Linked DNA regions of Neurospora crassa OR74A. The protein of the gene in region 2 interacts with the protein of the main gene of each other region in a biochemical or structural test. Links are inferred from orthologs where the notes say so. Each region holds a gene or a part of one and is shown on either strand. Other genes may lie near its edges. The genes, in order: amyc, rho-1 and pkc.

What was found.
Region 1: the proteins of rho-1 (region 2) and amyc form a complex in vitro, tested with the Saccharomyces cerevisiae proteins (2 studies listed by BioGRID, with this or other methods). The link is inferred for Neurospora crassa OR74A from reciprocal best matches to the Saccharomyces cerevisiae genes RHO1 and LRG1.
Region 3: the proteins of rho-1 (region 2) and pkc form a complex in vitro, tested with the Saccharomyces cerevisiae proteins (4 studies listed by BioGRID). The link is inferred for Neurospora crassa OR74A from reciprocal best matches to the Saccharomyces cerevisiae genes RHO1 and PKC1.

What each region holds. Positions count from the first base shown.
Region 1 is NC_026501.1:3,211,692-3,216,386, forward strand, and holds the start of amyc (LIM and Rho-GAP domain-containing protein), read right to left. Parts: upstream 3,170-4,695; 5' UTR 2,199-3,169; coding exon 1,824-2,198; intron 1,766-1,823; coding exon 1,075-1,765; intron 1,003-1,074; coding exon 1-1,002. UniProt on the Saccharomyces cerevisiae protein: Acts in signal transduction. Activates CDC42, RHO1 and RHO2. Negatively regulates 1,3-beta-glucan synthesis. May be responsible for the down-regulation of CDC42 during mating.
Region 2 is NC_026502.1:3,340,486-3,345,281, forward strand, and holds rho-1 (rho-type GTPase), read left to right. Parts: upstream 1-1,714; 5' UTR 1,715-2,176; coding exon 2,177-2,247; intron 2,248-2,383; coding exon 2,384-2,411; intron 2,412-2,675; coding exon 2,676-2,873; intron 2,874-2,944; coding exon 2,945-3,079; intron 3,080-3,180; coding exon 3,181-3,336; 3' UTR 3,337-4,215; downstream 4,216-4,796. UniProt on the Saccharomyces cerevisiae protein: Acts as a central regulator in the cell wall integrity signaling pathway, which is regulated by the cell cycle and in response to various types of cell wall stress.
Region 3 is NC_026504.1:1,589,244-1,593,748, reverse strand, and holds the start of pkc (protein kinase C-like protein), read right to left. Parts: upstream 2,945-4,505; 5' UTR 2,299-2,944; coding exon 1,863-2,298; intron 1,789-1,862; coding exon 1,525-1,788; intron 1,457-1,524; coding exon 482-1,456; intron 429-481; coding exon 1-428. UniProt on the Saccharomyces cerevisiae protein: Required for cell growth and for the G2->M transition of the cell division cycle. Mediates a protein kinase cascade; it activates BCK1 which itself activates MKK1/MKK2.

The DNA.
Region 1 (4,695 bases), on a different chromosome or scaffold from region 2:
GGGTGAGGGCATCCTGATTAGGCAGCATCATATCGTGGTCGTCCCCGGGTCCCATATCCTCCTCGATTCGCATTCTCCTGCCATTAGCTGGTCCACCATCGATGCCTGAACCAGGCCCGGACCCGGGCTGCGCACTGCTACTCTCGGGTCCATCCATAATTCGGGACGTCCTGGCTTTCCTAAAGCTTGAGGAGAGGTGCTTATCCAAGCGAGTGCTCTTCAGCCTCTTGACATCATTAAGAGCGCTCTCATAGGACGATTCTCGATGATGTAGTGACTGATCGCCCCCGGGGAAACCTCTCTGTCTACCATCCATTAACGGACGGCCATCGCCTGCATCAATTCCATTGTGACCCCTTGCTTCAGCGGCGGACGGAAGCGCGCCGTGCATGCGTAGGATCTCCAATAACCTCGCCAATGCCACCTGGAGCAGGAACATATACTGCTGCAGCTTGGACACGCGTTCAAAGGGCGGTGCCTTATCCGAGCTGTACGTTTCGCAGTTGTTGCAAAAAATCTTGGAATCGTACAGGTTGAGTCGGGCATCTTGTAGACTCCGGCCGAGTTCTTTCTGGCAACGTGAGCAGTTGACACACGTGATATGCCACCTCTTGTCGCCGCTCTTTGCACACTCGTCCTCAATGGGCTTTTTGCAGAGGGTACACGAGTCCGAGTCCGAGGCCGAGAGGCGAGCCATGCCGGACGTTAGCTGCAGCGTCGTCGTCGAGTTATCTTCGGTCTTTAGCGCCTCAAGATCATTGAGCTCATCCAGAAACCCATCGAGACCATCGGCGGTGTCGCGCTCCTTCTCGATCCGCAATGCCCCTTGTAAGCAGATTCGAATAAGGAGCTTCAGGTAATGGGCTAAACCAGTAACGAGTGTTAACAGTTCTTGGGTAACACCGAGCTTACGGGCACCCTTATCCTGTGTTTTAGAGAGTAGCGAAAAGAATGCTACGATCTTCTTGCACAGAAGCTTGGCTTCTCTTCCATACATTAGGCCTATAATTCATTAGCCACCATCATCATCAGCGTTTCGGGGATGCGCTCAAGCATCCTGGGGGATTTTCTCACCTGTCATATCTAGCCGTTCCATGGTAGCGTCAAGCCTATCCGCTGAGTGGAACAATATATCAACGTGCCATATGAACTTTTTAGCTACCATGACACCGTCGACATATGCTCCATTGCTCACGTGGAGAAGCATATCGGATATGCAAGCCGCCGACGACTCTTCGAAAGTCGAAAGCACACTCCAAATACGGTAGACCTTCTCCTCCATGCGTTCCTCTTCGTCCCGAACTAGTTCACGGCCAGCAGGGTCATCTGGCACCGGCCCGAGAGCTTTCTGTGGGGGATTTAACCTGACGTTCCAGAACTTGTGAATCATGTAGCATTCCGGATGCCAGTGTTGATTTTGACCGTTTCGGAATATCTCGACAAACTGCTTGAGGATGGCAGTCTGGCAGCCACTGCAACGTTGGGCGTACTGTGTCGAATAGTGGTAATGGCAGTAAACATGTCCATCATGCTCGTAGTAGCTATCCTGAGCGCCAAAGACAGTCGGGCAAAGCGAGCAGGTAAAGTGGTCGACGTGGTATTTGCGATCGAGGGCCGTGATGTAAGAGCCCCGAAGAGCACCGCCACACTGGTAACACAGCAGGCCTAACCTGCGAAAGTAATCCGTCTCGCAGAGCGGATACTGACCCTCGCCGTTGTTGTCGTCGGCTGGGAAGAACTTGGAAGCCACAATTTGACCGCAGTCCTGCACATGAGCTGGTTAGCCACAAAGTCCACAACGGGCGGCTGAAACAGGCACTCACGCGACACTTGAAGCAATCCAAATGAAAGGTCCCATCGAGTGCGCGAACAAACTGGCCCGTCAAAGGTTCACCACATTTCTTGCACACTCGCACTTGTCCGCTAGCTGTCCTCGACCCCTTTGGCTTCGACCGGTTCTTCTCCCCACTGCGTCTTGATTCGAGATCTGTAGCATCGGCGGCGCTCAGCGCAGGCGATCCTGGAATGCGAGTCAAGTGGGCATTTGTAGGGGCGCCGTTTTGTGATATCGTTGGTGTGATATCAAGATGCTCGTCCTCTCGCCGATGCGCAACTTCACCTTGTGGGTGCCCCTGGGGATGTCCATGGGTGTATTCGCGGTCGCCTACGGGGCCGCCGCCGTAGTCTGAGCTGGCCATCTCGATGTCGGTCTTGGACCCTTGATGTAGTTCGAAACCCCAAGCTCTTAAAATGTTTCAATGTATTTTCCAAAGAGGGGCGAGCAGCGATCGCGAACGCGGCGGATTATGGATGTAGGTTGGCAGACAAAGGCGCGTACGTCCACATCAAGCGGGGGCTCAAGCCGAGTTGGTCGAGACGAAAGGGATACGGCAAACTAAATGCCAGATGTCGCAAAACGACACCGCAACAGCCGCAGTCGAGGGTTTGCCAGTCGGTCTATAGTCGTGCGCGTAACTGCCTAGCGCGCTGTTCTGGCGAGCCCGACAGTTAGGGGTTAGTTGCGACTGGAGGGATGAAGGGCTTTGGTGTTGGCCGCCTCGATGGAGACACGGCGTGGATGGTTGTTGTCGACGTGAACTCAATGGTGTCGAGAGGTAGAAGGGGATAGTAGTTTGATGACCCGGGCCGGTGTAGCGGACAGGGGCTTGGAAAGCGTTCGTGGTCGTTGATTATGAACTCGGGCGCCGGCCCAGTGTGTTCAGTCAGGCCTGGGCAAGCAAGGATCGGGCAATCGTCAGTCGGTCGGGAAAAGGGCGTCGACGGCCACGGGGTGAAGATGGATATATGGGGTCGAGCTGGTCGAACTCGAATCACGATCACGGCGCGCTGAGTGCAGTCGGCGCCAATCAGTCGGCGGCGGTGGTATAAGCGGTGGACGGTGACCGTATCGGTGGACAAGTGGACGTAACGGTGGACGGGGGACGGGATTGCGATGGCTGGCGAGACGGGACGCCCGACTGAGTGCCTCTCTGCTGCTGCTGCTGCTTGTACACGAAGTGTATCGAGATGTCGGGGCGCTAAGGTCGGGGTTTGGCGAGGCGGCGGCCACAAGGGCGTGGAGGTGGCCGGGGGGAGGACGGTCGATTGGTAGCACTGGAGAAGGGAACCTGGGCTTGCGGTCGGGCGTGGTGTCGCCTGTACTTGGGCGGTCATAGAGGTAGTCCGCGGTGGAAGTGCGGTCGGGTGTTAGTCCAAACCTCAAGACCTAGAGGTCACGGTACCTACCTACTAGTACCTCTACTGACCACCTCACGCAGTCCCGTCGGTGCCAGCGGCCCGGTGCGTCGGGTACCTGGAGGTAGGTACAGTACATACACCTCTAGGTACCTAAGTAGGCTGCAGGTGTCCCTGGGTGTTTTGCTGCATTGAGGTTGTGGATTTCCTTGTAAGTTTGGGCCACCACCTCAGGGCGAGATTCCAGCGGATCTGTCCCTGCACTTTTAGTCAGGTACCTCCAGCAACAACCTACCTACTTGAACCTAACGGACGGGAACAATGACTTCGGAGCAGCAACAGCAACAGCACCAGCAACAGCGATCTACGGGCCCCGCCACAACGGCGGAGTGCAATTTCCAGGCCTGCCTCTAAAAACGAGGTGGAATAGGACCAGCCTGGTAGCATTTCCATCCGACTTTCCTACCTACCTACCTAGGTACCTTTGGTCTAACATCAGGCCTGGGCTACCCGGCAACGTGAATCAAAATAATAATAAAATAATGACAACTACCAGGGCGGGCGCCTGCAGAGAAGGATATAAGAAGATGACACAAAAACAGGCAGCGGAGATCCCTCTTACGGTGCGTCGAGGGCGAGCAGACAGGCATTTAGTAGTGTAGAGACGGGATGTTAATCCTCGATCTGTGCGTGTGGCCCTGTGGACGGAACAGCCCGACACGAGCTACTACTCCGACTAGGTACTGCGAACGGAAGGGGGCCAGCCGCGGTTTGCATGCAAATAACACGTGTGCCCTGTCACTTGGATGTTTGGGAAACCTCGTCAGGAACGAGGGGCGGGAAGGGGAAGTCGTATACAGCAGCATCCACATGGGATGATGGGAGGTAACACAGCATTACCCAGGCACGGGGGATGACATCCATTCATGTACATCCAAAGAAAAACGAGAATGAAAAATAAAACATGACAAAAAGCTCTAAACATGGTCACCCCCCTATCAATATATCGAAGAGGCGCCTACCTCTTCCAAGCAAAGCTCGGCGTATCTCGAGGTCCCTGACTGTTGTACTGCCAGCCTGCTTCGCAGCATCATCTTTCTGCATGCTTGATATTTTTGTCATGTTCGAGGTGAGGAAGATGATGGACAGCGCGCGGCTGAGATGACTGGGAAGTGAGGGTCTTGGATGTCAACGACAAGTGGAGACCTTGCTCAGGCATGAGACCCGAGAGTGGAAAAAGAATATTGGGCAATATGAACCCCTTGAGGTTTCTGTTCACCTTCCACATGGAACCCCTCTTCATCAAGGTCTCAGCAATAAACATGATACATGGCCCCTACGTATATCAACGTCCTCACAAAACTTCTGGCTCGCCAGTAATCACATCATGCATTGCTCCGTGTTCCTAAATTCAACGTAAAAACCAAGAGTAGCCCGAGAGGTAGTTGATGGAAACAAAGAAACTGAAGTGTCCAATATCTTGTCCAGACCCACCAAGTA
Region 2 (4,796 bases):
TGGCCGGCATCCAGCTCAGTACGCTTCCACTCGCTGCAACTTGAAGAAGCTCAAAGGTACCCCGACAGCGGGCATGAGTGGGTCCCGCATCCAGATGGAAAACTCCACCCAATCGAACAAATCGGTTCTCGTTCTTGGCGTTCCTTCCGTCCTCTCGAAGCAGTGGTGGCTGCCGCCCGTCACCTCCCAGCCCCGGACAATTCACTTCGTTGGACAATGGAGGGGACCAGAGTGAACCGACGGGTAGGACTTTGGGAACCATCATGGGGGTGGTAGGACTTGTAATTTGGCATCTAACACCGTGGCTGACTGACTGACTGACTGTTGACGGCTGACGGATGACGGGTGGCAGCTGACGCTTCCTTCTCCAGCCTCCCTCTCTCCTATCCCGTTTCGTCATCCACCAAGTCAACAAGCTCACGTCAATGCCATGGCAACCGAGATGTTCGCAATTCAAGAGACTGGTCTGCTATCTAGATGCGGCTGGGCACCGACACTTTGCTGACCGCTCCGTCTCTTGGTATATACTGTGTAGTGTATCGACAGCCGAGAGGAAATGGGGTATAGTGTGGTGTACATACTGCGTATGCCAACAAGACAGGAGCTTCCATGTTTTTAATATCATGTCCCGTCCTTCCTCCCACCCCATCCCCTTCCTCCATGTTCACTACTAGACTGTCAAGAGAGTCCTGGACCCTGATAATGGATGGCTGAGAACAAAGCCCAGAGCTATCAGCAAATTACTACCTATGTAGTGTACACTAGGGACACCCAAAATAGGCGACCGGAAGGAAGAGGCCCATGGCGCACTGTGCCTGTTCCTGTACCTTTTGGCGTTGGTTCAGGGGTTCTGGGCAGGCAGTCTGGAGATTAGCAGTTATCGCCGCCGCCCACTGGACCATCTTTGCTGCTGGAGACTCGCCTCGCCTGCCTTCGCTCGCTCGCAAAGCTTCCACTTCCTCTGAGTACACTACTAAAATCCTGGGGGGCCACGGCAGCAGCGCGTGCTTTCCCCCTTTGATCGACAGCCAGCCGAGCCAGCGCAGCGTGTCGGGTGTCGGATTACTGCGGTATGGATGTCTAAAAGTGGTTCGAGTGGTAATTTGGCCCGTCCCCACCGTGCACTTTTGCGCTTGTCATCAAAGTTGAAGAAACAAAAAAAAAAAAAAAGGTCGAGAGTCATGTTCGGGAGATGGCCTTATTAGCCTTATGCAGCAAGTCCGGGGTAGCGAAAAAGGGGAACAGGAAGGAACATGACGACGACGATTTCAAGGTCGGTCCACTATTAATATCACCAAAATCAGCTCTCTTTTCGCGTGCAAATAGCTGAATTACGGTAATGGAGGTGACGGTGTTAATTGTAGAAGAGGACCGGTACGTACCGCTTGCTGAGGATTCGGGCCACTCACAAGTCACATCAAGCCAGCACCTCCCTTGTCTGGCCCTTTGCTCTTGGCTCGTCTCGCACCCCTACCGGCTCCTGTACAAGTGATGGGGTATTCCGACACAAAATGCAGTATCTAGGTAGGGACCTAGTGTGTTGGATGAAAAATTAGGTCGGTAGGTGTCGTCTGCCTTCCTCTTACCACACAGTACCTGTAGCCTCCAGGCTGCGACTGCTGCCAGATGGGACTGTGTGAACCCGACTGAGTGACTGCCTGTGCCTGGACAGCCCGCCCGTTCCCTGGGGCTTCTCTGGGGCTACCCACTGCCTCGCTCACCTCACCACACACGGCAGCACCCACTGCCCTCCCAGCCCAGTCTGACTGCCCGGCCCTGGTTCGCTGGCTAAGGTTTCCACCCTCTTCCAACCTTGCCCGTGGGAGTCCTGCACCTGGCTATCTGGTGGTCCCCCCGTCCCCGTTCCCCGTCTCCGTCTCCGTCACAACACAACTCACAACTTGAACAGGTTAGCACACCACCAGCGGCCACTACCTACCTACCTACCACCACCACCGTCCATCCTTCAACAACCACCCAACACCCCCATCTCCATTTTCCTTCCCTTTTCCATTTTGCATCTTTTATCGACCAAATCCAGGCCGCGTGATACCCTCTCCCGTCCTTTGCATACAACCCGTCGACAACGAACAAAGCACCGTCCGTCGACATCACTCAACTCAACTAAACAACTTAATCTCTCCTCCCCTATTCACACAACCACCAAACCGACGCCATGTCTGCTGAACTCCGCCGAAAGCTCGTCATCGTTGGCGATGGTGCCTGCGGCAAGACCTGTTTGTTGATGTATGTCCATTTCCCCTATCCACATCCAAGAGATTGATGCTGCTCTTATAAGGCGCGCGTCGTCGTCGTTGTCGTCGTCGTCGTCGTCACCGCCGCTCTCCCCCCATCACAACCTTTTTGCTAACCGAATTTCCAGCGTCTTCTCCAAGGGAACCTTCCCCGAGGTAAGTCAGGCACTTGTCTGTCGGGACTGAGACGTCCATCTACACACCTGCCCTCGACCGTCTGTTCGCTACACCGCCCCAACCGCCTGACGAAACACGCATCTTCCTGCCAATTCCCGCGTCTCGCCTCCCCCCCCGAACAGGCTACATCCATCTCCTCAGCCCGATGAACCATCAAGCCATCAAATTCGAAACACCCGCCCTGTCGCCATCATATCCGCATCCGAATAAGCGCTGCTCAGCCAGCTAACTCTCTGCGCCCAGGTCTACGTCCCTACCGTTTTCGAGAACTACGTCGCCGATGTCGAGGTTGATGGCAGACACGTCGAGCTCGCGCTATGGGATACGGCTGGTCAGGAGGATTATGACCGTCTCCGTCCCCTGTCCTACCCCGACTCTCACGTCGTCTTGATCTGCTTCGCCATCGACTCTCCCGATTCGCTCGACAACGTTTCCGAGAAGGTCAGTATCCCGCCTGCTTACTTGGCGCGCCCTTGTCTTTGAGGCTACAATTCGCTAACAATCAAAAACAGTGGCACTCTGAGGTTCTTCACTTCTGCCGTGACGTTCCAATCATCCTCGTTGGCTGCAAGAAGGATTTGCGCCACGACCCCAAGACCATTGAGGAGCTCCGCAAGACCAGCCAGAAGCCCGTTTCCCCCGAAGAGGTACGTGAGGCTGAGACATTGGCGGCTGATGATGCCCCTTTTGTTTCCAAGTGCTTTCCCTCCGCTTGCTCGGGAATGTATGCTAACGCGCTCATCAACAGGGTGAGGCTCTGAGGAAGAGGATCAACGCCCACAAGTACCTCGAGTGCTCGGCCAAGACCAACGAGGGTGTCCGTGAGGTGTTCGAGAACGCGACAAGAGCCGCCCTTCTCAAGAAGACAAAGACGAAGAGGGGCCTCTGCAAGAGCTCGGTCTAAACAAACCCACAGCTCTTTAGAGAGATGCTTTTATTTCTACCGCACGACGAACAACATCATCTGCACCAAGCCCTCCCCGGATAGCCTCGCAACATGTAATCAAGCAACGGTTTTCAAAGCGAAAGATGATCATCACCTTAGTTGATAATTCTCTGCCCATGACGCCGTCAATGCTGCTACCGAGCGGATAATATTTCACAGAGAGAAGAAGAAAGGGGTGTGGAGAGCGCAAATGGGGAGGGGCTTGGGATTTCGGGGATACTTATGGGCCTTACTACTCGATATTTAGGGAGGATAACTGGGTCTGGACTCCTTTCCACTATTTCTGTGTGTGTGTGTGGTCGGCGTGGACGGGTGCGTGGCTTGTGTTCATGTATACACAAACGGAGGACACCTGAGGGCGGTAAAGGGAAAGAGAAAGACTGGAGAAAGGAGTTTTGCGGTTCAATATTTCTTGTTTCTTCTGGAATCACATGCCGCGTCTCTGGCCCCCCTTACCTGTCTCCTTTATTTCTCTTTCTCTGTCACTGCCCGTGTGCGTCTGTCTCTTATCTCTCTCTCTGTGTCTACCTGTCTGTTATTAATCTCTAGTTTTATCGCGTTCTTGTTTATCTGTCTCCGTCTGCTGCTGCCGCTGCATGGTTCAAATTGGGATTTTGAGATTGAATGTTCCGTATAGTTTGGGCGATCGGCATGGCGAGGCCGCCGAATGTCCCTGCTACTTCCATAGACCGTTGACGACAATTGCTGTTACCTACTGTACATCCTCAGACCATTCATTGCCCGTCCCCTCTTGCAATACTCATGTCAACCACTGACACGAGCACAGACTTCTTCTACGTCAGTCAGCCCGTTTGTCTACTTAGTCTTTGAATCCGAAGTTCAGTAATCATCACGCTTTGCCGACTATGCAATCCGACGGGAGAGGCCGCCGCCAGCTCCAGACCCAAACGTGAAACAGTTGATTGAATGAAGGACGTCATGTCTATCAAGGGTAAACCTAGTTAATGTTCCCGAGTCATCACACTCAGCGCGTGAGGTATGCCAGAAAGGCATGATTGGTCTTGACAGCCAACGAAGCTAACACTTGCAAGTAAGCTATGATGTGCCATACATTATACACTTTGCATCTCGAACACTCTCTGGGACTTCTTCATCATAGCCAACAGAGGGGGGAAAGAAGCGGTAAACATAACACTTTCAAAAGAATATATATAAATATATATACGCTCCCCGCTGTCAATTCCTTTCAGTTCTTCAGTTCCTTGATAACCTACTCGACGCAGGAGGTAAATATTCATTCAGGTATCTAGCTCTAGCTCTGGGTAGGAGGCAAGGTAAGGTTTGGTACCTCTAGTCAAGTCAACCAACCAACCAACCAACCAACCGAACGACGTAGACAAAAGTCCGTCGCTCGCTTTCTCCTTCTCCTTCTCCTTCTCCTTCTCCTCCCCTCCCCT
Region 3 (4,505 bases), on a different chromosome or scaffold from region 2:
ATAGCCAGGGGAACCACCAAAGTCGGGTATCGAACCGGCTTGCGAAGGCTGAGAGCTATGCTTTGGTGCCATAGCCGCAGCCGCAGCCGCCGAGGCGGTTGTTGAGCTGGTAGAGGTCCTGTCGGGGCCGCCTGGCCTGGGCGTTGTCTGGCTGTACATAAGCTTGGCAGCCTCAGTTGCCTCGGGCGAAGCGATTGACGTATAAGCAGTCGAACCGCTATACGTCGATGCCTGAGCGATCGACCCGGACGAGATGGAAGTTTTGCTCCCCGGCCTAAGGGTACGCTCACTCATCGAGGACGCCTTATCCTTATGAGTCTTCTTCTGCGTTCGCATACCCTCCAAGATCTGGTTGGCGACAGCCATAGACATGCCACAGAAGTCAGGAACAAGATGCACGCATTGCGCGTGGGCTGTAAGAGCACATTCTGTCATAATTGTCAGCATATGGGGCTCCAAAACAGGGGCGAACTCGACATACCTGAACACTTCCTCGAGTTCTTCTTGGATCCAATTGGTAGCATGTAACCGCAGTGGCAGCACCAGTTGGCAGTAAGGTTGGAGAAAGGAATGAAGCGATGGGGGATGCGGTGATTGATCTTTTCCTCGTCAGGATCAGTCTCGGCATTACTCTTGCTGATGCACTTGGTAACAACGCTGGTGTAGCACTTGGTGTGGCAGGTGTACTTGCAATCCTCGCACTGCATACCAGCGGAGTACTTGAGGAAATCGCCGCATAGCGCACAGCGCATAATGTTGTAGAACTGCTTCTGGACAAACTTGTGTCCATACATCTCGTGAACTTCCTCCTTGCGCTGGCGGACAGCACCCTTGCGACCCAGCCTGTCCATGCCCTGAGGACGAGCCCCCTTGATGAAGTTAAAACTGAGGTGGATCTGGCCATAAGGCTCCAGGTTGAACCAACCGTCTACAGGCTGTGAAACAACTTGGGATGGCGGAGGCGCCTGGGGTGGGATCATGGTGTTTTGCTCCTGTGATCCAGGGGATGTTGGCGGTGCCGCAAACTGAGGACTCTGGGCGCCCATTGGGAATTGCGGCGGAGGAGCTCTGGAGCCAACGCGGTCCGCCGAAACCCAACCTGCGGACGTCATTTCGGCCTCGATCTTCTTTCGGCGAAGTTCCTCGACGATGTCCGAGATTCTGACCCAGAGCATGGCGATAGGCACGGGATGCTCGGCGGGCTTATCATAAACCGTAAACTCGATTTCGTTCGTCTTATCGACCGGGAAAGTGTGGAATTCGGCTTCCCACTTGTCGTTTCGCGAAGGCTTTGTGCGCGCAACAACTATATCTTCGGCCTTAACAGCGATGAATGTTTCGGGGGAGCGAGCGAAACGACCGAGGGGCGCATGGTCGACATCCTTTACAGCGAGAATGCGAATAGAAAGAGTACCGCTCAGGGGTTTCCTAAGGGCTGGCAGGTTGATGCTGTCGTCTATAGTCACATTCAAAGTTAGTAAAAGGAGTGCTGGTGAAAGCAGCATGTGGGGGAAGGAATTCTACCATCTGGACCATCAACATCAATGTCGATGTGCAACTCTTCATATCTCTTGAGTGCCTGCTTCAAGAGGACAATCTTTTGTTTACTTTCGACACGCTTGGCGGCAGCGTCAAGCTTGCTCTTCTTATCACCTTCCATCTGATAGAGCTGTACCATCTTCTCAATGCCCTTTAGGTACTGTTCTTCCACGTTGAGCTTGAACTGGATTTGGGACAACATCAGCTGGATGCGAGGTCCAAGATGTGGGGTATCGAACTTGATTAGATCTGCAGTTCCCTCAACGTCAGTCACACAGAATATGTCTAAAGGGGGACTGGTCCAAGGAAGATGTCCAACTTACCGAGCCTTGTATAATTAGGACGCGCCCGTGGAACATTAGAGTCAGGAGGACCACCGGGATAAGGAGCAGAGGCGGGCATCAGAGGACCGCTGCCCTGACTCTGGTGAGAGCTGTGGCCGCGTACGTCCTCCTTGGGGGGAGGAGAGGGGGCGCCGTAGCCCTCGAAGTCATCAACGGACTGTCGGTGGGAGCCGGACATTGGGCTGGCACCAAGCGACATGTTGTCGACGCCATGGCCGAGTCTCCTCATCTGCAGTTCGCGCAGCTTCTCCTCGAAGAACTCGAGATTCCTCCTCCCTTCGCGCATCTGGGTGTCGAGCTTGGAGCGGACCTGCTCATTGTTTGTCTGCTGGCGCATGGCCTGCGCAGCATTGATCAGAGCCTTTTCGCGCTCGATCTTCTTGGAGATGTCGTGGACCTTGTCTTCGTCGTTCATGGTGGCGGTATTGGGCCCGGCGGACCGATGGCGACGGTGGGAGATGGATTACTTTGGAGAGGATGAAAGGTAAAGATGCTCCTGGCAATACTAATGTCCGACGGTGACGGTGTCGGAGTCGGTGTCGGCAGTGGGAGAGCGGGGGAGGGGGGGGAGGGAGAGAGGGAGGACGACGGGATTTGATCCGGACGACTAAAATGCTGCTGGCATGCCAGTATGACATGCAACGGATGCGTCGTGGTGGTTGTTGATGGACGGTCAAGTTGAGCACTTCCCGGGTGGAAGGCGAGGCGAGCCAGGAAGGCAACTTGGCAGCGAGGACGGATAAGGAGGTCCAGCCAGGAGGGATGGATGGAGGTCGAGGGTACCTCTAGGTGCTATGGACACTTTATAAGGCAGACACTGATTGGAGTGCTACGCTGCTGGACCTAGACGTCGGGTAGGTAGAGGTAGGTAGGTAGGTAATGGAGGAGATAGTGGCGGCGGGGCAGCAATTAGCATTAACAGAGAGAAAAGGCGGGTTTTGCCTTTTTCGACGGGACTGAACGAGGAGGCTTCAATGTGCAAGATGGAAAGGCTCAAGGTGGCAGCAGATTAGCAGGTACTGCAGAGAGAGGTATGATGCTAACGATGGCGGGGTTTTGTGTGTTTCGCATAGGTTTGGCGGCGGCGGCCCTTGTCGATTCGACGAGCCAAACAGCCAGTGGGCATCCAGACGAGAGACGACGATGCCTGGTACTGCACGCTGAGCGGTCGAAGTACGCACAGGCAGTTCGGGGCAAAGGCGGGCAGGTCACTTCCTTGTTAGCAACGTCCACTTTTCCCCTTGAAGAGGCGGGGATCGCGTGGTTTTGGTCCAAGTCCAACACTTCAATTTGTCGACTGGACTTCCGGTTCCCAGTCAGGTACCTCGCCCGCTAGGTGTCTTTCATTCTTTAGTATATCCATCATCACGAGAACAATGAAATCTAATACACCTAGGGATATACGAGAACCGCACATACTAAGCGGGAAATCTCGAGGCCAACAGTCCCCGTTTGTTCTTTGAATTTAGGCGCGACGAGCCCATTCCATGCAGTGTTCTTTACCACCCCATCATCCAAAGGGGGGTGGTTCTTGGGAACTAACAAAAATCTACGATAGCCTCGTCTTGGCATCAGATGGTTCCGAATCGGCGCATTTTCAAACAGTCAACAACACTAACAGCAGCGACCCTCTTGGAATGGAACCCTTTTGTTTGCATATCACGCACAGCTCACACAGACAGACTGTTGGGCAGCCACAGGCAATGACTACCCGAACAGAAGATGGGCACCTCCACACATCGATACCTATACGACACCGTCACGACGGGAGTGGATGGCCTGGTCTGCCTGGTGCGCTGATACCGAACCGTAGGACTGTTGAAATGGTGGTGCAGGGCGCTGGTAGGACTTCCCTTCCGCACTTGGGCTTGGGACATGGGATTGGAAGCCCGGAGACCGAGGGGTGTCAGTGGGCGCAGTATCGAAACGGGTGCGTGCACTTGAGTTCAGTTGGTGGCGCACCTTGAACCGCTTGAGTTTGGAGGGCTGTGATTGGGCATGCCGAATCACACTTTGGGGACTTGGATCACGCAGTCGACTTTCTTTCACTCGTCCTAGTGAAGGAACATGCTGTCAACAGTTCACCCTCGAAAAGTTTGTTAACATGGCACTTTCAAGATGGCTAGAGGTAGGCGCCAATCCTGCTTATTGCTCGCTATAAGTACAGTCAAATTTTGGTGCGAGACATATGTATGGGACACCATCAATTGTTGTTCATAACCTGACTCTAGCTCGGTTTGGACCAATAGAACCGCCTGAAAATCATGTCCTCTTTCTGCCTTGTCAGAAGACGTTGTAAGTTTCGCACTAACAAATCTCAAAGGTTGGTCTGTGTATAAAGACCTCACATGTTAACCGCCTGACTTTTGAGAACACCATCGCCCGAAAAGTCCTGATGTGCAAGTATTTAGGCAATGATGACGGCGACTTGAGACAGAGGAGACAAACCCCATTTGGAGTCTCGACAGGAAAGGCGGTCACGGTGTGCCCATCCATGTCTTAGGATGCATACTACCTACACTACACTGATGTGATGGGTTGCGGGTTAGGGATAAATAAGCTGGAAATTGTCCAAGCCGAAGAAGCTGGATTTCGTCCCAAGACTCGACTGGTTTCCTACCC